Linked DNA regions of Oryzias latipes. Each later gene encodes a partner of the first gene's protein in a complex. Links are inferred from orthologs where the notes say so. Each region holds a gene or a part of one and is shown on either strand. Other genes may lie near its edges.

Region 1 (11,356 bases):
AGATCTAAAATGGAGTAGAAGCAGAGGACTTCAGGATGGGCCGAAAGCTCATTTGCTGAGTCATCGGTTCTGAGGGATTCATTGTCTTGGAGGATGAGTGGTGCGTCCGAAGGCCTCACCTCTGGCCTTTACTTTGTTTTGTTTGTGTTTTGCTTGGATTGTGAGCAGCGTTTCCGTGCCGAGCGTTTCTTTAGCAGACAGGATGAACCACAGCTAAGAAATGTTCAGGTTAGTGACGGTCTGTGACGGGCTGTGCGGTTCCCTGAGCGATGAAGATGAACCACATCTCCTGACATTGGATCATTGCAGCGGTGTTGCTGATGGTACTCGTCACATGTTAGTAACCCAAACCAGAGAAACCACTGATCTGTACAACACCGCCGGAAAAGTTTCAGCCCGTCCCACAAACGCATGCTCCGCCCAAACGTGACATCACAGAGAAACGGCCTCTAATGCCTTAGTCACATGCACCCGATTGGGGGTTGACCCGTGCCGGTGCTCCAGGTTTCTGGCTTGTCTGGACCCATAGGAGGGTTATAGGTAGGCGTGGCCGCATCTTAAGGGGATCAGAGTTGTGTCTTATAGTCCCCTTCAGGCCCGTGCAGCCGCCTCAAGGTCTGCCGTGAAAATGGAACGTACCATTGTCACGTGTGTGGTAAGGGTAAGATGAAGGATTGATTTGTAAGACTAATGTAAGTTACACAGACATGACATATGTGTGGTGCTGTCATACACAGTCTAGTCATTGGTAAGGTGCTCATACCGCCTCCTTACTGACCACGCGCAAATGCTGCATGCACAGGGTGTGCACAAGTTATTTAAGGGCCCAGAGGACGTCCACACAAACGACCCTGTGTCCAACTTCCTCATTTCTAACAGTCAGACTGCATCATAAAGAGCACGCTCTCCTCACATGAACAGCTCCAAGGGATCCCTGATTCAGTCTGCAGGATATAAAATCTGTACAACATCCCGGCGCCTCACCTATCTCACCATTGCTTACCCTTACGTGTCGTTAAAGTGTTCACTACGACCCGTAGAAACTGAAGTGCACAGACATTTTCTCTCTACGGGTTCGTCTACTGGTCTACAATCTTAAAATGTCACGGTGTCATCTGCGTACAGGTTTGACCATTGTTTTGCCCCGGACGGCCCGTTTCCACCCTCAAGGGCAGCTGTGACTAAGGCATAAGATTAGATTTTGCACAAAACATCAAACACTCTCTTCCAGTCTCTGTGTGCAGGGATTTAATATTTTTGTTCATTGAAGACAGTTTCGTGTTTTTTTGATCTGATCATCTTTTTAAACGGAGTTTGTTCCTGAAGTCTGTCTTCATGTGAACTCTGGTTGGCTCCATTTCATCTGCAGCCCTTAAATCCGTGGACTCATTTTTATTTACGGTACAACCATTCCTTTAATTTTTTGAGGGGAAACAGTTTCTCTTTTAGTCTTGAATGTAAAAACTCAGTTTCAAACTTTATTTTTGTGAAAGCTTTAAAAAGACAAATTCACATTTCATGAAATGGTCTCAAACTTCAAGTTCCGACAGAATTCAGGAGACGTCGCTGAACGACTGAATCTTTCTGCTGACTGAAGCTGCGTTCACACCCAACGCCATTCAAACATGCGTCGGCCACCTCTCTCCTTTGCCGCGCTGCGAGCTTAAACTCGCCACGTTCATGAGCTCGCCGCCGTGGCCGCATGTATGCGGAGCTTCAGCTAACGTTTTTAGCCTGAGCGCTGTCTGTGTTTATCTTGCCTACAGTGCATAGAAAACACGGATGATGTTGAGAGATCAGGTTCATTTATTTTGAGCAGATTAATTGCGTCTCCATGTTTGGGATCATGCAGATTCTCTCCTGCTGCTGTATCTGAAAGACGGCGGCTTCTGCGGTCTTTCCGTCTCTTTCTGACCGAGTTTACAGACTTGCATGAACCCGAGAGGGAAAAACTAAAAACCAGAATAAAATCAGGGGACCTTTTTTTATTAATGTCTCCATGAAAACAAGTAAAGTATCCTAGAGTTCAGGGTTCACGTTGAGCTCTCTGTTTGGCTGCCAGCTGGCCCCCTGGGAGATCAGTCGCTCCAGCCCCACAGGTCTTGGGACAGCCTGGCTAGGTAAGTAAGTAAGTTTTATTTATATAGCGCCTTTCACAGATAAAATCACAAAGCGCTGAACAATAAACAATTTACAACCCAGTAAAAGCAGAAAAACAATCAATTAAATATAATGTAAGCAAAACTAAATTGAAGAAAAATAAACATAAAATAAAACCAGTCAGCTAAAAGCATTTTTGAATAAAAGTGTCTTCAGTTGACTTTTAAAAGAATCGACGGTGTCGGCCACACGAAGGGACAGAGGGAGGGCATTCCAGAGTCTGGGGGCTATTCCCTGGAACGACCGGTCACTTCTGGTTTTGTACTTTGTCTTAAAAATCTTTAAAAGATTTTGATCTGAGGATCGGAGGGCACGGCTGGAAGCGTAGGGACAGAGCAAGTCTGATAAGTATTTTGGGGTCTGTCCATTTAAAGCTCTAAAGGTTAAAACTAGAATTTTAAAATCAATACGCCACTTGATTGGGAGCCAGTGCAAGGAGGATAAAATGGGAGTAATGTGTGCCCTTTTGTCTGATCCTGTTAAAAGCCTTGCAGCAGTGTTTTGAACTAACTGAAGACGGTTAAGAACAGATTTATTAAAACAAGTGAAAAGAGAATTACAATAATCTAAATGAGAAGAAATAAAAGCATGGATAACCATCTCTAAGACTGAGTTAGATAAGAACGCCCGCAATTTTGCTATGTTACGTAAATGATAAAAACAGTTTCTAATTAAAAGGCTGGAATGATGGTCCAAAGACATTGACTGGTCAAACCATACACCAAGATTTCTGATACAGGGCTGTACAGAGGAGCTCAAAGAACCAAGATGCCGGGAAATTATCGGGATTTTGTTTTCTGGGGCAACTATTAGTGTTTCTGTCTTTTCTGGGTTTAGCTGAAGACTGTTACTTGTGAGCCAAGATTTAACACAAGCAAGGCAATCTAGTAGTTCTGTAAGTTTGTGGAGTTCTGTGTCATTGAAAGAGCAGTACAGCTGAATATCATCGGCATAGAAATGGTATGACACATTTTTAAAGTTATTCAAAAGCTTTCCAAGAGGGTAGATGTACATTAAAAACAAAAGAGGTCCTAAAACAGATCCCTGGGGCACACCATGTAGGAGTGGAGCGGTATCAGAAAGCATGGCATTTATGTAGACAGAGAATGTTCTATTAGTCAAGTAGGAGGTAAACCACTTTAAAACAAACCCAGCAATACCAAACTCATTTTCTAATCTGCCCAACAGTATTTTATGATCAACAGTGTCAAATGCAGAGGATAAGTCCAAAAGAACCAAAACTGTATACTTTCCAGAGTCAGCAGCCATCTTATCCCGCCTTCGCCCAACAGTAGCCAGGACGGGTTCCAGAAACCCCGCTGCCCCAAAAGGGCCGTCACTGAAACCGTCTCGTGTCCAGGGTTGAGTCTCTGATTGGTTGCTGGTATGAGGTGACATTCCTAGATTTCAGATTTTTTTTTTTAACTCAGGCCCACCGCGGCCGCAGCCCGATTTGCATTTCTGCGAGACCTTGTCACCGCGCCTGTCACTCAAATCGAGCCACAAGACCTCAGATGGCGTCTGTACCATTGACCTAACATCGAAACAATCCGCCTGCGAACTGTGTTGGGTGTGAACGCAGCGTAAGACTGGGTCTTTTTCTTAGATCTGCACACAGAGCTGCTCTGGAACAGGGTTGCTGGTCCGGAAAAGGGTTGCTGCTTCCTCTTAATTACAGTCTAAATCCATTTCCTGAACCTGAACATTGAGCTGTAAAAAACAAACAAACAAACCCGTTGGTACGGATTCCTCACGTTAGTGTGACACGGCACCAGGTCTTTGAGGAAATTTCACATCTTAAGTTATTTGGTTGGGCTTTCATGAATCTGCATTTATTTATCTTTAAGGGAAAATTGTTGAAAATTATTTTTTTCATGGAGGAAGATTTCCTTTGATGTTGGTTTGAGTTGTCCTTTGGAATCACGATGTTGATGACTAAATATGTTCTGCCAATAAAATTTCTACAGAGCAAATACCTGTCAATGGTTTTTGTTTCCTTATTGTGGATGATCTGTTTGGATACAGAGCTGTGCAGTTCGGTATCAGCTCCATCATTTTTATGATACAGTAAATGTTAAATGAAATCATAGAATAACTAGAGAATTCTAAACACAGTCAAATGCATCCAAAGAAACTTTATTTCTTATATTCTTTTGTACAATACATACACATATTTACACGTCTGATTGCTTGTTTACTCAAATTTCTAATCAGCCAATCAGATGGCAGCAACTCTGTACATTCAGGCATGCAGACATGATCCAGACGATGAAACCGAGCATCAGTATGAGGAAGAGAGGGGATTGAAGTGACTTTGAACGTGACGTGGTTGTTGGTCCCAGACAGGCTGGTCTGAGGATTTCAGAGACTGCTGGTCTACTAGGATTTTCACCCACAACCATCTCTAGGATTTACAGAGAACGGTCCAAAAAAGAGGAAATATCCTGTGAGCAACAAGTGTGGACGGAAATGCCTTGTTGATGTCAGAGGAGAACGGCTAGACTGGTTCCAGCTGATAGAAAGACAACAGGAACTCCAAAAACCACTGGTTCTAACCGAGGTCTGCAGGAGAGCAGCTCTGAACGCACAACACTTAAGGCAGATGGGTTACAGCAGCAGAAGACCACACTGTGTGTCACCCCTGAAAGCTAAGAACAGGAATCTGAGGCTACAATTCACACAGACTCACCAAAAGTGGACAATAGAAGATTGGATTTGTTTTATTTCAAGCACTAGTTGTAGTCATTATATAAAAACTCCCACAGATTTATCAAATTCATTACAGAAATAGTTCAATAAAGTTCATAGTGTCTGTATTGATAACTGACATCTTAGGTTCTTCTATTATCAGACACGGCTGTGTTTTTTCACACACCAAACCATGTTAAGCATGAAAAGGTCATTTTTAAATAAACGTTGATTTAATTTGATTGTGCAAAACCTCAGTGCCTGTGTGGAATGACAGCGTCACTAACTCCATATTTAATGCTAAATAGAAGCTGTAAGTCCAGTGTAGTTGGGTTAAAGTAGTCATGTCTATTTAAAAAAATGTATCCACGTATGTAAAAGTTTGATGCATTATTTGAATTATACTCCCATGAATGTGAGTAAATCCAACGTATTACCAGCCACCTCCGGGCAGAAACTTGAAAGGATTTGTTTTCTTTTGAACTCATCATTTTCTTGAATGATCCACACAAATCCATCAATATTAAAGTGAGGCAGGATACTTATTCTATATTCAACTTAAAATGTTCCAGTTAAGTCTGAAGATGTTTTCAGATAGTATACCTCTGACACTACACATGCATCATCTTTACTAAAGTATACTTATACTCAATTTATTAATAAAATTATTTCTAAGAGTAATGTTTCACTTTTTTAGCAACTTCTCTCTGTGTTTTCTTGCGTTTTTCTCCTCTTGGTTATCTTTTAATTTCTTCATGTTTTTTTTTTGTTTTGTTTTTAAAATTCTCGTGTATTTAATGTTTAGTAGTTTTTGTCCACGACGATAAAACCGCTCTTTGGATCTAAGTAGGAATAAAATGGTCACACATGTTCTAAATGTCTTCTTGAACCAGGCTTCTGCGCCTTTAATGAGTTCCTCGGGATCGCCCAGCCGCTCACGTGACAGTCAGGTGCCCCCTGCACCGCGCAGGCGCACTCAGGAAGTACGGAGAAGTGAACACAAACTGTAAATTTCTCCGCGGATTCGGAGTTTTTTCCGCCCTTTTGTGGGTTTTTCGCAGGAATTATGTCTCCTCGATAAAGTTGCGGACTGCTTTAGCTCGCTTTTATTTCTGTGTCCTCGCAGTTGCTAATTGAGCTAGCAGCTAATGATTAGCTTTATTCCCCCGTAAAAACAGAAGAGAAACTTCGGGAAATTGACGCTGAGTTCGGGTTTTTCCGTGAATGGACGTTGTCTGCAGCCGACCGCCGTGACTGACCCACAGGAGGCTCACGGGGGGGTCTGTTGACTTCAGGATGCATGACGCCTACGAGTCCCTGCCCATTCTGGAAAAACTCCCCCTCCAGATCGACTGTCTCGCCGCCTGGGGTGAGTCAGCCCCCCAGGGCTTTTAGGGGCTTTTGTTTAGTGGGATGTTCTGGTCAGGGGTTCGAATCCCGACCAGGACAGTCTCCGAGTCCTCCAGCTCGATGAGCACAAACTTTCTGTTCGACAAACAGGTTTAAACTACTGTTAAGTTAAAAAAATGAAACAAACCAATGTGGACATTTAGATCTAATAAAGTTTCTTCAGTTGAAATCGTATTTTATGAGAAAACTCTTTAGTTTATAAACAAGAAAAATTGATTTTCAAAGAAAAAAACAACTAATTTTCAATCCAAGAATCATCAACTTGTGATTTAAATCAAATGGACTGAGGCAGTCATCCTCTGCTCTAAATAACTGAATACATTTGGGTCTTACAGATCGGAAATACATTTATTGTAAACATATTAAACCTCCTTTGCAGTGATTCTTTTTTAAGATCCAGCTTTAGAAACATTTAGTGTCTGAGCTCTGAGGACCAGCCGTCCAGCATTTGTTGTTGTGGAGGAGTTTTCTGTGGCTTTGGCCCGGTTTGAGCGGGTTTGTGTTCCCTCAGAGGACGGGCTGCTCGTAGGAACAAAACCAGGACATCTCCTCCTGTACCGGATCAAGAAAGATGCTGGTAGGTCGGACGCCCGCCTGTGAGCCCCTGATCCCTGCTGGAGTCCCACCGGCTTTTAAAGGAAGCTCCTCCCCTTTTTTTCCCCCCCTCAGGAACCAACCGCTTTGAAGTCACTTTGGAAAAGTCCAATAAGAACTTTTCAAAGAAGATCCAGCAGGTTTCACTTTGTGACCTAACTTTCACTTTCAATGTTTAAATGTGATTTTTGGATGTTTCTAACTGGTCTAACTTTGTGATGCTTCCAGCTTTATGTGGTCTCTCAGTACAAAATCCTGGTCAGCCTTCTGGGTAAGTTCTCTGCTGTCACAGCTCCATTCCAACACCATCAAGACATTAGACCTTAGTTCTACTCACAGTTTAGTCCTTCTGCTCATGAGCTCAACACCCGGCTCGCCTCTCTCCTGCAGAGAACAACATCCACGTTCATGACCTCCTGACCTTCCAGCAGATCACCGTGGTGTCCAAAGCCAAAGGAGCCACGCTGTTCACCTGCGACCTGCAGGTCAGTCCTTCCTTTTCACAGCGGTCTTCTAATCATCATGATGCTGTTTTTAGGCTACATTTTTTTTAAAAGGGTGTGTTTTTCTTGGATATAGATTCAGCAGAGCAGCAGGAGTTCATTAGAAATTCACCTCTGAGTTGTGGGCGGGACCTGTTGACTATATATGAGAACTGGACCGAGTGACCCCTCCCTCCTGGCGTTCCAAACAGGAAGGAGCCAGAATCCCTTAGACCTCTATAGAGAAACAAACAGCTAATCTTCTATTATTCTAATGGCCAGAATAACTATTGCTCTCATAACTTTTTTTTTTTTTACTTGTTCTTAATAATCATAATTTTTTTCAGGATATTTTTTTCTGTAGTTCAAGTTATTCCAGTTATAAACTGACCAATCAGACGCCTCAATAAAACTTGGCGGTTTTGCATCCAACGTTTGACAGATTTTTGTGTGGCCCACTCTCAAAAAGTAGGGGTGTGGCCGTCCTACCAGCTTACTCCTGATTGGTGGGAGTGGTTGCCATAGGAAGGAGGACTCAAACCGACTTGTCCCAATCACTGCTCACTTATGCCGTCTGGCTCCAACAGATGCGATAAAATGGCGGTTGAACTGGCTTCATGTCATTGGAGCCAGAAGGGAGTGTTCTCTCTGGGTGACATCACTCAGTCCAGTTCTCAGCAGCTGTCAGCGCTAAGCAACCCCGCCCCCTCTTTCCCCTCTGAGAGCTTTTGTGGCCCACCCAGCATATTTTTTCTGTCCCTTTTTTTTTCTTCTCAAACCAGCATTTTTTCGTCTGCTCCTGATTCAAAGCGATTTGAATAAAGAAATACTCAGAAAAGTTACAGGTTAATTTTCTGTATGTGTCCTCCATCATCAAAAAAATGCTACAAAAATGTCCTTTTCACTGCAGTGCTTCTGCGTGATTAAAGCACCACACATCTGAACAATCTGAATGATCTCTATTCAGATTATCTGATCAGATTACGTCTTCTGTCTGGGTAACTCACTGCAGAACAGAAATGCTTCAGACCTTCTTCCTTTTCCGTTTAAAAGAGAAATATTATTCTTCCTTTTTTCTCAAACCCGTGATGAAGCGCTTCACCGTCTGACCGCCAGACCAGCCGGTTGAAGGTCGGCTCATGTTGAGCAGTTCCGTCTCTGTGGCTCTTTCAGCTCGCCGCCTCGGGGGAGGAGCGGCTCCGAATGTGCGTGGCGGTCAAGAAGAAGCTCCAGCTGTTCTACTGGAAGGACCGGGAGTTCCACGAGCTGCAGGTGAGACCAGGTCGGCCTTGAGCGGGACCACCGAGGAGCGCTCGGCTCACGCCCGGCTTCATCTTCCAGGGAGACCTGGGCGTTCCGGACATTCCCAAATCCATGGCGTGGTGCGAAAACTCCATATGTGTGGGCTTCAAACGGGACTATTACCTCATCCGGGTACGTGGGACAGACCCATCCTCAACACCCGGCAGAGACGTCCACAGTCTGAGCCCAAGTGTCATCCGAGCAAAACGGAGGATTTTGTTGGGTTTCACTCACAAAACACGACAGTCATGAATCCAATGATCAGGTGGTGATGGTAAAAGACCATAAACATTGAAAAAGAATCTCCAGTTTTAGTGTAAAAAGTCTCAGCGATTACTGTCGTTTTTTTCTAAAACCGTTCTCTGGGTTTTGACTTCCTGAGTTAAGTTCTACCGTTTGTCTTGAGGTGTGTCCTGATGTGGTTCTGACGGATCCTTTTGGACTCCTGCTGTCTCTCCTGTCGATCAGCTCGATGGCAGAGGCTCCATCAAGGAGCTTTTCCCCACCGGGAAGCAGCTGGAGCCTCTGGTTGCCCCACTGGCTGATGGGAAAGTGGCGGTGGGTCAGGATGACCTCACTGTTGTTCTGAACGAGGAAGGAGTTTGCACGCAGAAGTGCGCCCTAAACTGGACAGATATCCCCATCGCCATGGGTAAGTAAAGGCGTTTTAGACTTTTCTTTGTTTTTTTTGATCTGCTGCCAAACCAGAGTTCTCACCACACCATCACACTCCCACTTCCATGTCTGACTGTGAAACTGTTTTTGGACACTCTCCTTCCAGAAGCATAGTCCAATAGTTTGTGTGTTCTTTTTGCATTTTCTTTCTCCTTGAACTCTCCCATTCATCCATTTATTTTAAAGTCTGTTTCTCACTGTTTGATCATGAACTTTGACCTTTATTGATCAACTAACATCAGGTTTGTTCACGTGAACGAAACTGTTAAGTGTTGAGCTCCAGTTTTCTGCGTCTCTCTGTGTTTTAGGCTGTTGATTGAGCTGAGATGAAGCTCAGTTTAGATCCTGTTCTGGTACCGGGTGGGATCACAGCTGCTGGCCAGATGTGTCTGAGCTCGGCAGGAAGCAGAAGTGAGCAGGAGGAAGTGCAGGTTTCATGCAGAAGACCAGAACGTTTCAAATCAAATCATTTTGTAGGGCAGAGAGCAGCAGCTGCGACACAAACATCGTGACCATGGAGCTGCAGCCCCCATGAATGTTCCGTTAAAGGAAAACTAAACCTTAAACTCTCACCGTCCTCCTCCCAGCAGTCAGTCCTTAGTGGTCCCTGCTGGATCCGGATGGTTCTGCTCACGTTCTGCCCCGTACCACGTTCCCGTTCACCGTCTCTGTGCTCTGAGACGTTCCGCTTCAGAAAAGCCTTGTGCTGCAGCAGCTTTTATTTCTGTTCACAGAGCACCAGCCCCCTTACATCATCGCCGTTCTTCCTCGATACGTGGAGATACGAACCGTTGAGCCGAGGCTGCTGGTGCAGAGCGTGGAGCTGCAGCGACCGCGCTTCATCACCTCGGCGGGGTGAGATGGATGAACCGTGTGGTTGTAGTACCTGATGCTTTGTTTTGGACTAACTTTAATGCCATTTTTTTTTAGAAAAGATCTTGAATGAAACCTGTAGGAATCGTGACAGTAAAACAGCCAGTAAGGGGTTCTGTTCATTAGATGGCCACATGTCAATCAGTGACCACGCCCCCATTTCAATGACTAAATCAAATATAAATCAGAATAGGATGAGAACGTGCAGACCGCCCTTACAGTTCCCATGGATAGACAGAGTAACTATAGACGGCAAAAAAGGGCCAGAACTGTGATGAAGTTGGGCCGCATAGAAGTAGCTCCTGCGGGAATGTTGGAAATCCTATGGACAGTTGGGGCTCCTGCTGGTCTTTGGGGCTCTTACGGGTCGTTGGGGCTCCTGCTGGTCGTTGGGGCTCCTGCTGGTCGTTGGGGCTCCTGCTGGTCGTTGGGGCTCCTGCTGGTCGTTGGGGCTCTTACGGGTCGTTGGGGCTCTTGCGGGTCGTTGGGGCTCCTGCGGGTCGTTGGGGCTCCTGCTGGTCGTTGGGGCTCCTGCTGGTCGTTGGGGCTCTTACGGGTCGTTGGGGCTCCTGCGGGAATGTTGGAAATCCTATGGACAGTTGGGGCTCCTGCTGGTCTTTGGGGCTCTTACGGGTCGTTGGGGCTCCTGCGGGTCGTTGGGGCTCCTGCGGGTCGTTGGGGCTCCTGGTGGTCGTTGGGGCTCCTGCTGGTCGTTGGGGCTCCTGCTGGTCGTTGGGGCTCTTACGGGTCGTTGGGGCTCTTGCGGGTCGTTGGGGCTCCTGCGGGTCGTTGGGGCTCCTGCGGGTCGTTGGGGCTCCTGCGGGTCGTTGGGGCTCCTGCTGGTCGTTGGGGCTCTTACGGGTCGTTGGGGCTCCTGCTGGTCGTTGGGGCTCCTGCTGGTCTTTGGGGCTCTTACGGGTCGTTGGAGCTCTTGCGGGTCGTTGGGGCTCCTGCGGGTCGTTGGGGCTCCTGCTGGTCGTTGGGGCTCCTGCGGGTCGTTGGGGCTCTTACGGGTCATTGGGGCTCCTGCTGGTCGTTGGGGCTCCTGCTGGTTGTTGGGGCTCTTGCGGGTCGTTGGGGCTCCTGCTGGTCGTTGGGGCTCCTGCTGGTCTTTGGGGCTCTTACGGGTCGTTGGAGCTCTTACGGGTCGTTGGGGCTCTTACGGGTCGTTG
Region 2 (11,178 bases), on another chromosome or scaffold:
GGGATTATCACCTTTACCTTGTCGTGGACGGTCATGCAGCTGGCTGCGTCATTCTTAAGGATGTCTGTCACCCCGTTGGAGAGCCTCTCGTACTTTAACTTGGCCTCCTCCTCACTGTCCTCCTCCTGGTTCGGAGAGGGAAATGGGCTTTCACTCAACACTTTCTTAAAGGTAGTCATTTACACACAGCCACTTCACAGAAGTTACAAAAGACACTTTCAAAGACGTCCGTGCAGTGTGTTGAAATATGCAAAAAGTTCTCTTCCTGTTGGTTTCAAACTGATGTGACATATGAAGTTTTAGACCCCTTTCTCTAAATGCTTATTTCAAATATTACATAAAGACATGACTTTGAATGCTTCAGAAATTAAAAACCCAGTTTGAACTAATATCAATGCAAAAGGCAATTAGAAAAGATTTTAAAAGGTGTTCATCTTTTCTATTTCTACCAAGAAAAACAAGATGGAAACACCGATTCCACAAAAAAAGCATCAGAAGATCCTTTTTCTTCACTTAATAAACCTAAACTGCATACTTTATGAATTTAAGATCCACACCTAAGGAAATATTGTCTTTATTAATATGTCCATAACACGGACTTCTCAGCTCATATAAGCCAACTAAACAACTCCAATTAATCTGATGATGGCAGACAGATATAAAGAAAATTCAGCTCAAAATTGCATTTCTGAGTATTTCTTTATTCAAAATTGTTGTGAATCAGGAGCAGACAAAAAAATGCAGTCTGATAAAGATTGCATCTGCAACATAAAATACACAGGACTCAGCTCCCTGCTCCACAACGGGGAGGGGAAAGGGGGCGGGGTTTGCTATGCGCCAAGGGCCCTAACCCACAACCAAGAGACCAATTTCTAATGAACTCACCCCGCAGAAACTATATCCTGGAAAACGGCGCAGGTTTTAAGATTGTGGCTAAAAAGGAATAATCATCTTCAAAAGATTGCAGAGAAAACTTTTAAAATAAATCAAGAAGGGGATCCGATTGGATCATTAAAGCCTATTTTTAATTATTTCAACTTGTGTCAATGAGGCAAAAAAGAAATAGAATACATTTTAAAAGATGTTTAAATGTTGTTTTTCCACAAATAAAACTGGATGGCATCACTAATTCCACAAAAAAGCATCAGCAGATCCTTTTTTTTTTTGCTAAACAAACTTCTTCTTCCTCTTTCGGCTTCTCCCATCAGGGGTCGCCACAGTGAACAAGTCGCATGGTAAACTTGGCAATGTTTTACACCGGACGCCGTTCCTGACGCAACCTTCTCAAACCGGGCTTGGGACCGGCACAGAGGAAGAGAAGGGAACAGGGAGCAGCCCGGAGTTGAACCCTGGTTTCACGGTTGGAAGGCGCCGCAAACCAGCACGAGCTAAACCGGCTCCCTTTTTGCTAAACAAACTAAAACTGCGAAATTTGTAAAAGTACGATCCAAGCCTGACATATTGAAATAAACAATTTCTATGAAGTGTATCACTTTATAAGCAGCAGGCAGTGAATAAAACCGATATTAGGAGATTAAATAAATTAACAAATAGATTTAAAAAATGTGATGTCAAAGAGCAAAGCAGCACAAATGTATGGACTGGAAGCATTTAATATATTAAAGATACAAATTTTTTTTTTACTTATTTAATATTCCTGTTATTAAAATACTATGCCATAATATTCTCAAGGGGATTTTTGCTACATTTTTTTGTCCTTTTACCTCCTAAAACAACATAAAAAAAGTGGAAAATCTAAAGGTAGAAGGCAAAGATAAGAAGGGAAAACAGACTATGAGAAAGACTACTGGTTAAAAAATGTAAACTTAAAACAATACGATGCTCATACTATGGTACATGCGTGTTACTGACCTTTATGTTCATTTAAAGCTTAAATATACCTTTTTAATTAAAATAACTGGTATTATCTGGTGTTATTTGGATTCATACCTTTATATGCTATTGGCTAAATAAAATGAGTTCTGTCATTGTATCAAGAAAGAGTATTTCTGCATAGAACCAATCTATTTTGAGAAGTGTTTACATGTATATGTGTAGGAGATACCCAAAAAAGGGACAAATTTTCATTACCTTGCATGAAAGGCCTAAAACAACAATTTTTCATCTTTTCTCAATGCCGTTTATCCCCAGTGAGACGCGTGAATTTATTGTTTTCATAAAGCAAACTTAAAGTATTCTACTGTGTTACACTTTCCAGCATGAGTCAACATTTGCAGCCAGTCACAGCCTGAATATTACTCATAATTCGGTTTATAACCAATACTGCACAGTCTGTGGCTGCCCAGAGGGTGCATCAACTCAAAACATTGTCTGCCATTATGTGCTACTGGGTTGGAGGTGGGGGACAATAGCGTGGAAAAAATGTTATTTTCAAAAACAATCCTTTCCCACTCAACAACGCCATATCTAGGCTATTTCCTGTGTATTCTGGTTGTGAGATTTCTGATGCGAGGGCATTTGTCACGGATTTCAAAGGCGTATCAAACAACAAAGGCAAACTTCATCCCCACAGAGAAAATCCCCATTTTAAAACTTTTCCCATCTCTTGTAAGTTGCCCTTTGTTTTCTCCACTGCCACACTGGCCTTTATCTTGAAGCCATTTATGCCATTTTTCTTGCCTATTGACAGTTTAAATACAACAGGTTGAACTATTCAGTCGGACTGCATCAAGGATAACATTCTGCAGAGCGCACAGAGACGACGCCGGTTGTCGCCATCTAGCAGGATAAGAAAAATAGGAATGTCCACTTCAACAAAAGCTTTTAAAACAAACGCGAATGAAAATTATGCTACACTAACGCAGCTGCCTTTGAGTTATACATGATGGCTATCCTTCAGAAGATACAAAGGACTTAATTCAATTTGAAAGGAAAATTAAAATCCCTTCAGCTATGAGGTTAACATCTTCAGTTCAATAGTTTTCTAATAATGACTGCCAACCTTTCTATTCAATTCAATTCAATTTTATTTGTATAGCCCAAATTCACAACAACAGTCGTCTCAATGGGCTCCGTATCGGTAATTGCAAAAGTGAAACATGAACTCAAAAGGATCATAAATACATAGAGTTCAATAGGAAAATACTAAAATGAACTAACAAACTGACTAAGCTATACTGGCATCCCTGCCCTTAGACCTTTTAGGAAAAACTCCTTAAAAAAAACGGATTCCGGAAAAAACAGAGAAACCTCAGGGGTCCCCACATGAAGGAGGGATCCTCCCCCAGGACGGATAGGCGATTTACCAGAACTCTTAGAGAAGAATTAACTTATCTAACTCTACAACCACATATATAAAGTCCAGCAGACGAGCTTCATCCAGCCGGAGTTGCTTTTTAAGTAATTTGCCCCTCATTTTGCAAGTGAATGGAAAAGCTTTGATCTGTAAAGGTTTTTTGTTGTAAATACATACTTAAAGGTGTGAGTTCTATAGAGAAAGCTGGATGCTGAGTGTGAGCATTTTTTTGAATGAATTTTAAAGAAAATAGTTTAATCAAACCAAATATTTTTGACTTTAACTGGTGTGTTATAGAATTTTTCCTTATTTTGTTTTTTTTTAAATAAAGATATATTTGCTTGTAGTACTGTACATGCAACATATAAGGTGAACTGGTCAATAACCTGAACAGCGCTGGGACCAGTAACAAATGTTACTATACACTCACTGGCCACTTTTTTAGGCACATCTGTCCAACGGCAAATCAGCCAATCACATGGCAGCACATCAATGCATTTAGACATATGTAGACATGGCTGCAGTCTAAACCAAACTGGGAAGAAAGGGGATTTAAGTGACTTTGAACAAGACATGGTGGTTGGTGCCAGACAAGCTGGTCTGAATATTTCAGAAACTGCTGATCTTCTGGGATTTTTACCCACAACTATCTCTAGGGTTTACAGAGAATGGTCCAAAAAAACAAAAAGAGATCCAGTGAGCAGTTCTGTGGGCAGAAATGCCTTGTTGGTGCCAGAGGTCAGAAGAGAATGGCCAGACTGATTCTAGCTGATAGAAAGGCAACAGGGTTCCAACTGAGGTCTGCAGAAGAGCATCTCTGAACACACAACACGTCCAACCTTGAGGCAGATGGGCTACAGCAGCAGAAGACCACACCGGGTTTCACTCATGTCAGGTAAGAACAGGAAACTGTCTGAGGCTACAACTCACACAGGCTCACCAAAACGTGACACTAGAAGATTGGAGAAACGTTGCCTGGGCTGAATAATTCTCCATTCCTGCGGCGACAATTGGATGGTAGGGTCAGAATTTGGCGTCAAAGCGGGAATCAATCCTGCCTTGTATCAACAGTTATGGCTGGTGGTGGTGTAATGGTGTGGGGAATATTTTTTTTGGACCCACAGTACCATTCTAGCATGGATACAAAGCCACAACGCTGAGTATTGTTGCTAACCATGTACATGCCTTTATGACTACATCTTCCAATGGCTACTTCCAGCAGGATAAGGCGCCCTTTCATAAAGGTGGAATCATCTCAGACTGGTTTCTTGAACATGACAATGAGGACTCTGTCCTGAAACAGCCTCCAAAAAGAATGTCAAAAATATAGACATTTTGTTTTCTAAAAGATTTATACATGTGTTTTTCACCCAACTTTTTTATGTGAGAATTCTGAAGATTCAAAGCAGCCCTTCTCTGAAATGTGTTAATTTATTTCTATTCTTAAAATGAAAAGGAAAGAATGTAGTCCTGTCCTGCTGTGATTGGCAGCTAATGCTTGTCTACCATAAACTTAAAGTAAGCTTCTTTATAACTTTGCAACACTTAAAAAATACTTCCACGTTCAAGTTGTTAAAAACAAAAACAAAAAGAAAAGAAGAAAACAGGAAATTGAAGCAGCGTTTAAGTTAAGTAAATAAAATAAGGAAAAAAAAACGGCACAAAATAATACAATTCTAAGCTTCTTACCTCAGACTCATCAGTACATTCCTCGCTTGGCTTTTTATCCTTAAAGAAGAATCACAATCAAAATGTTTGATCTTTAAATTCTCTAGTTTGAAAAATAAATAACAAGATCATTAAAACTAAAACAACCCCAAACCTTCGTTAAAATAAATTTTACACGAATTGTAGGTAACAATCAAAATCAGAATAAAAATCTCATAAATATTAACAAAACATTTGTCATTCTTTAAAAAAAACACGTATAAAACGATCATAAGCTAGCTAGCTTTAGCATGCTATCCTCACCTTTTCTTGCACTTCCGCCATTATGGTTCCAATAGCGATAAATTCCGAAAGCAGATGTTTTTGATCAGTGTCAATTGCAGAAACACATATTAAATTACGCACACAAACTATGTTTGTGGCAAAAGCACGTATAATAAGGCAGTAGAATGCGATGTTTACTGACGGAGCAGTCTTGTTGCTCACATGAATCACTGAATCACATGACTAATGCAAAAACCGCGAGGCAATCTGGGTATTGTAGTCAAACGTAACAGCGTTTGTTTCAAGCAAGGAGTTGAAGACGTCTGCTGCCAAAACGAGTGCAGCTGAAGTAGGTAGCATTAAAATAGTTTTATATGTTTCAAGTTCTCAGTTACCGAATATTGTCAGCCTTATAAGTTTAAAATTACTAATACTGAAAAAAAGGAGTTCTGGATAAAAATGTTCTGTCCGAGCTCAAAACACGTGTTAGGAATATAGTTTAATATACAATTATAAAAGCAAAAGTAGTCGTATTATATTATATTATATTGCTTTTTGTGCCTTATATGTAGGTCAAAAATAATTTTAATTTATTCTTTAAGCTTTTATGAGAACACATTTTTGACACAAGCCCATTGGCCCATTTGGTAGTTGCGGAAAAAAAAGAACAAAACAATAAGTAAACACAGTAAATATCATATTTCATATCCTATTTTCCGAAGAGAAACAGAGGATACAGGAAAGTAGGGAATATAGAGACATTTTTCATTCAATAGATGTGCCACATCATGTACTCCTACCTTATATGGAAGGAATAAATGGCTTTTTAAATGGTTAACATTAAATTACTGAAAAATATAAGACAGTTAAATTGCTTTACATTAAAAAAAACCTTTCCATTTCTGCTTAATCCATTTTAAGGATGTTTTGGGGTCTTTTGTTAAAAGCTAGGGAAAAGACGATACACGTTTAATCTAACTACTCATTTGTTGTGTACATTTGCAGACTTTTTCAACGTTAAAGTGCGCTCTTTTGTCACAATACTGACATTTCATAGTTCAGATGGATTCCAAAGGTTTGAGTTCCTTCTTTTTTATTGAGATTGTCTCACACCTCCGTCCTGCTTCATTCATCCTCAGGAGAATCCTAATGCACTGATACCAAACGGGGATCTCTTTTTTTTCTTTCTTTACAATCTGCTTACCAATGATTTATTGATTGCGGCTTCCACCCTCACAGAGAATTACCGATCCTTTTTGGGAAATCAGATTTTCACACCTTTCACTGGTGTGTATGTGGTCCAGGTCTCCAGAGACGGTGAAAGGGGGAAACTGACTTTGAGGAGCAGCTGTGTGTGAATCTCTGTGGTGTCACTCTGCTGCCAATGGTGCATCTAGCGGAAGGCCTCTGATTCTCCACATCTCTACACTTCCCTCTTTATAGTGCTGCATTATTTAGTGGTGGATAAATACGGCTTGGGCTTAATTCTATACGTGTCCATTCCCTTTGAAACCATTAAAACGCGGTCCACTAACCCTACAATCTTAAGCAAGCATGAGCTGCACTAAGATATAAGCATCTCATAGACAAAAAAAAAAGGCAAAATTACACAAACAACTCTTGCTTGCGTACGTGGAGCAAGATTAGTGCACCAGAAGCTTTGATGCTTGAGAATGTCAGCTCTGTGGATCGATTTAGCCAAAAACACACACACACCTGACCAATCAGAGGCTCTTGTCTGTTGTGGACCTGCTGCTGGGCACCATGGTTTACAAGCTTCAAAGAGCTCCTTTTAATACACTGCTTTGATAGCCTTCAGCCCTCACTGACCCACCGACCGTCCACTGGGGAGCATTTTAGCTTTAGCAGAGAGGAGAGGTAGGACTGTTGATCATATCAACAAGCTCAGGGAAAAAAATATATATATCTTTTTTAAGTTTTGCCTCAGCTTGCATTCACTTTTAAAAATTTACTTACACTAAATTTACTGCTTCACATAAAAGAGTAGAATAATTTGAAAAGAAAATAGGATTTTGTGATGCTTTCGTATGAGGAAAATGATTTATTTCTTTTAGAAAGATAACAGTTTGAGTTATAACCCTAAGGGGGAGACAAATTATTATCCAACAAACTACATTAGACATCCGTATCTCAGGGTGATCACTCAGTGCAACTAATTAATAAACATACATCATTTCATTGCTTTGAGATTATCCGTATTGGACTGTTGGATGAAAGGCTTATTGATGTAGTAGCAGATGCTCAGTAGTGACCTTTTAATCAGTCATTAAGTTTATCTTAAGGATTTTTTATGAAACCTGTAATTGAATATCCTTTAGCATAACATTTAAGTAAGTAGTGATGATATGCACGATTATACATAGCGTTCTCTTGTGCTAATCTACTCTTGTATTCTCATAATTTTTAAAAAATACACAGGAGTTTCAAAAATTCGAAGTCAAGAAGCTTTCAAATTCCAAAACTGCTATATTACATCGAAGTATAGAAAATATTTATATCACTTTTTATCGTAGTCCACTCTTTTATTGTAGGCCAGCTCAGTGGCCTTGTGGTTATAGAGTGTCTGCCCAGTAACTGGAAGGCCATGGGTTCAAACCCAAGACCTTAAAAATGGGACCCAATGCCTCCCAGCTTGACACTCAGCATTAAGGGGTTGGATTGGGGGGTTAAGCCACCAAATGGTTCCCAAGCACAGCTGTGTCCGCAGATCACCGCTCCCCCAGGGGATGGGTCAAATGTGGAGAACAAATTTCACACACCTAGATGTGTGACAGACAGTCAGACTTTATGGCACTAAAAAAGGTCTTACTGAGCTTCAGATTATTGCACTAATTACTAATAAAAGATAAACAAAACACAATAACGTAAAAAAAACTATGATTTATTAGTTTGTGCTAATTTTAGGCATTTTTTATGATTTAACAGTGGTCATTTTCATGGAAAAACCAATTACTTTAAATGTAACTTTTCTTATGTTTGAATAAGATATTTATTTTAAATAAACCAAATTAAATTTAACTATAATATTCATTTTAACATTTTAATTTTAAATACACAATTCATGATTTTGTTAAAATCTTTCTATCTGGAATAACCATTCAAATGTATGTATTTATTCTTATTTAAGAGACTGAACTCCAAAAACCTTTGGGACAGACTTATTGTTTCTAAAACCCTTTTTTTCTAATGGTCACAGGTTGAATTCCCTTAACCACAGGTGAAACCAGCAGCTCTTAGCATGCATATGTGATGACTCTCTCTCCACTAACCGCTGTTTGCCTGTCCACCAGGGGTATTAGGTGAGCGGGAGGCATTGGGGAGGGTGCAGCAAGAGCTTTTTCTCATTTTTGCAACCTTCCTGAGATGGGGTCAGTAAGACATCAGCACACAAACTTGTAATAATCTAAAAGAACTAATCACAAAAAGCCTGGTAAGGACAATAAACAAAAAATCTAATTTCTATAATCCTGTTTGCTTTTCTTGCTCTTTTTTATATATTTTAGCATGAGGTTGGTTAACTCAGAGTCTATTTTACAGCTATATTAAATAATAATAGAGGTGATGCAATGGCAGATAGGCAAAGTTTGCTTTTTGAAGCAATTATCAGCTGTGTAAAACGGTGAGGGATGTGTTTCCCTGCTATCCTGGAGCTTCAGAGGCCAGAGCAAGATTAGAGCTCTGATCTCATTCCCAGCACTTGTTTGGAGTCTGTCAGGAAGAGAAATGCCGGCATTAGAGAGGTACCGCCACACTCCTGATATGATGAAATAAGGAGAAAAGGGGAAAGGGAAAAAGATGGAGGGATGGACAGAAAGGACCCTGCCCTTCTCTGAAGGTTCACCAGCTTGTTTATTTCTATTTTTCATCGTAGCTGCTGGGGCAAAGATTCCCATTTTTTTCTTTACCCCCCCCCCCCCCCCCCTTCCCTCCTCCCGACAAAAAACACTGCTCTCATTTTTTATAGGTCTTACAAACTCTCATGCCCCAGTGAAAATTACATTGTGAAACGGTGGAAATTTCAGGGCTGCCTGTGCTCTCCGCTGTCCCTCTGAGCTTTCAAACAGTCAACAGACTGTGAAGAATAAATAATAAAAAACTATTGATTATTTTGATGACTGCAAGATTCAATTAGGTATTAATTTTGCCCTCCAGTGGACCTATCAAGCAGCTCAAAAGCAGGGGAGGTGGGAGGAGAGAGGTGAACCCAAATGAATGCAGAGTGTGGCCGAGCTCAGACAGAAGGGAAATGTGTTTACCTCGGCGGGCAGAGAGATGCATCGATGCGCGGTGTCCCACATTTAAGTGCCCCACAAATGAAACCATGATGACTAGTGACATTGTTACCAGGGATATGACTATTGACCAGTTGGGCCGAGTTTTTTAACGACAGCTTAAACTACTCCTATTGATTAACATTTTCATAGATTATCACGTGTCATATCAGAGGGGGCATATTCCTGTGATGGGCACATTAAGGCCCCTCTGGGTAGAAGTTCATCGACCACAATGATGGACAAAGGGGGGGCTGTGGAAGGGTGAGGGGCCAATAACAGCACCCCCTCCTCTATTCTCTTTTCTTTATGTACGCACCGGTCACCTGTCCTCTGCTAAGACATATTTAGGATGGAGCAGATTCATAAATAAAGAAGAGGGCCGTGGAGCCTGAGGTGGGGCGAACGCTGTCTGAGGAGCTTCTCAGGGGGAAGAGACAGAGTGAGGAGCGGGCGGGAGAGAAAGAAGAAGGAGGAGGTGACATCTTTAGGGTTCGGAGGCAACCTCAGGCTTGAACCTGACTTTGCCATTCAGACGCAGGGAGGTTGATGCAGGAGGAAGAATGCAGTAGCTGAACGGGGGGCTGACATGTTTTAGCGTCCGTTTGACTGATTTCAACGTCTGGACTTCCTGAAAACTCCCTTTTACTGCTTTTCCTTCAGGAGCTTTTCAAGGTAGGAAGCATTCTTACCAATAAAGTCTGCTAATAAGGGGGGGAACGATGAACCGATGAATTGATTTATATTCCTACGATCCAACCAGATCAATCTGTGGGAGGCAAGTTGTTAATAGAATTGACCTATACCGTTATGGAACTGTTTCAAAATGAAGTAAAATGACTATATCGATATTGGAAAATACCATATGGATGGTATGGATTGAGGAACAGTTGGTTCATTTTACTATAACATATAAAAAGTGTATCACAGCAGACAACACACGTGATAGCAGCAAAAACCGATCAAGCCATCACTACACCGCTTTGAACTTCGCAAAGACGTGACCGTACAGTGTGATTCTATTATTGTTCTAATGTTTTTGATGTGGAAAAACAACAGTGGGCTGAACTTTAGGAAAGTAAAATGTGAGTAGATTTGTCATTAATTCTTGTTAACTTGTTTGTTTGTGCACAAATTTAATTTACACTTGATTATGTTGCAAAGAAATACCAGGAATCTGGACAACTTCACCTGCACTGTTCAGTATTTATCTTTGGTTGAACTGTTGGCTAAATCTATCCTGGATCGATTTTAGGTGGACTATGAATCGGATCGTCAACCACAAATTAAGATATGAATCGAATTGTTGCTAAAATGAATCGTTACACCCCTACTGCAACACAAAACATATGTTTTGCTTAAAATTATTAACTTTTCTTTCTTTTAAAAAAATGTAAGTTAAAGATAATTGGGTTGAAAATGTTTTGCTTCAGGCATTTCATTTCTGTTGCCTCAACGTCAGGTTTCAATCGAAAGTCTTGTCCCAAGTTAAGTAAAACTAATATTCTTGTTATTCTTTAGATGTGGAATTAGGTTTGTTTGTTTGTTTATTCATCCGTGCACAACCCAGGAACCTCCTCATAGATGGCTGTCAGCATAGCGTTTGCTGAAGATGAGGTACATGTCAGGTGGTAACGAGGCCTCGGAGATGAATGCATCACCGTTTTACGTCTGCGGGGTATAATAGTAGAGCCACGC

The links.
Region 2: vps39 (region 1) and vps41 share a complex: the UniProt entries of both Homo sapiens proteins name them as parts of the homotypic fusion and vacuole protein sorting (HOPS) complex. The link is inferred for Oryzias latipes from reciprocal best matches to the Homo sapiens genes VPS39 and VPS41.

The regions. Positions count from the first base shown.
Region 1 is NC_019880.2:24,627,218-24,638,573, reverse strand, and holds the start of vps39 (vam6/Vps39-like protein), read left to right. Parts: upstream 1-5,786; 5' UTR 5,787-6,144; coding exon 6,145-6,217; intron 6,218-6,769; coding exon 6,770-6,835; intron 6,836-6,927; coding exon 6,928-6,992; intron 6,993-7,080; coding exon 7,081-7,123; intron 7,124-7,242; coding exon 7,243-7,337; intron 7,338-8,507; coding exon 8,508-8,606; intron 8,607-8,675; coding exon 8,676-8,768; intron 8,769-9,104; coding exon 9,105-9,288; intron 9,289-10,045; coding exon 10,046-10,166; intron 10,167-11,356. Other genes in the region: transmembrane protein 87A, read left to right, coding at 1-18. UniProt on the Homo sapiens protein: Regulator of TGF-beta/activin signaling, inhibiting SMAD3- and activating SMAD2-dependent transcription.
Region 2 is NC_019878.2:20,692,322-20,703,499, forward strand, and holds the start of vps41 (vacuolar protein sorting-associated protein 41 homolog), read right to left. Parts: upstream 5,432-11,178; 5' UTR 5,249-5,431; coding exon 5,228-5,248; intron 4,985-5,227; coding exon 4,946-4,984; intron 126-4,945; coding exon 18-125; intron 1-17. UniProt on the Homo sapiens protein: Plays a role in vesicle-mediated protein trafficking to lysosomal compartments including the endocytic membrane transport and autophagic pathways. Acts as a component of the HOPS endosomal tethering complex.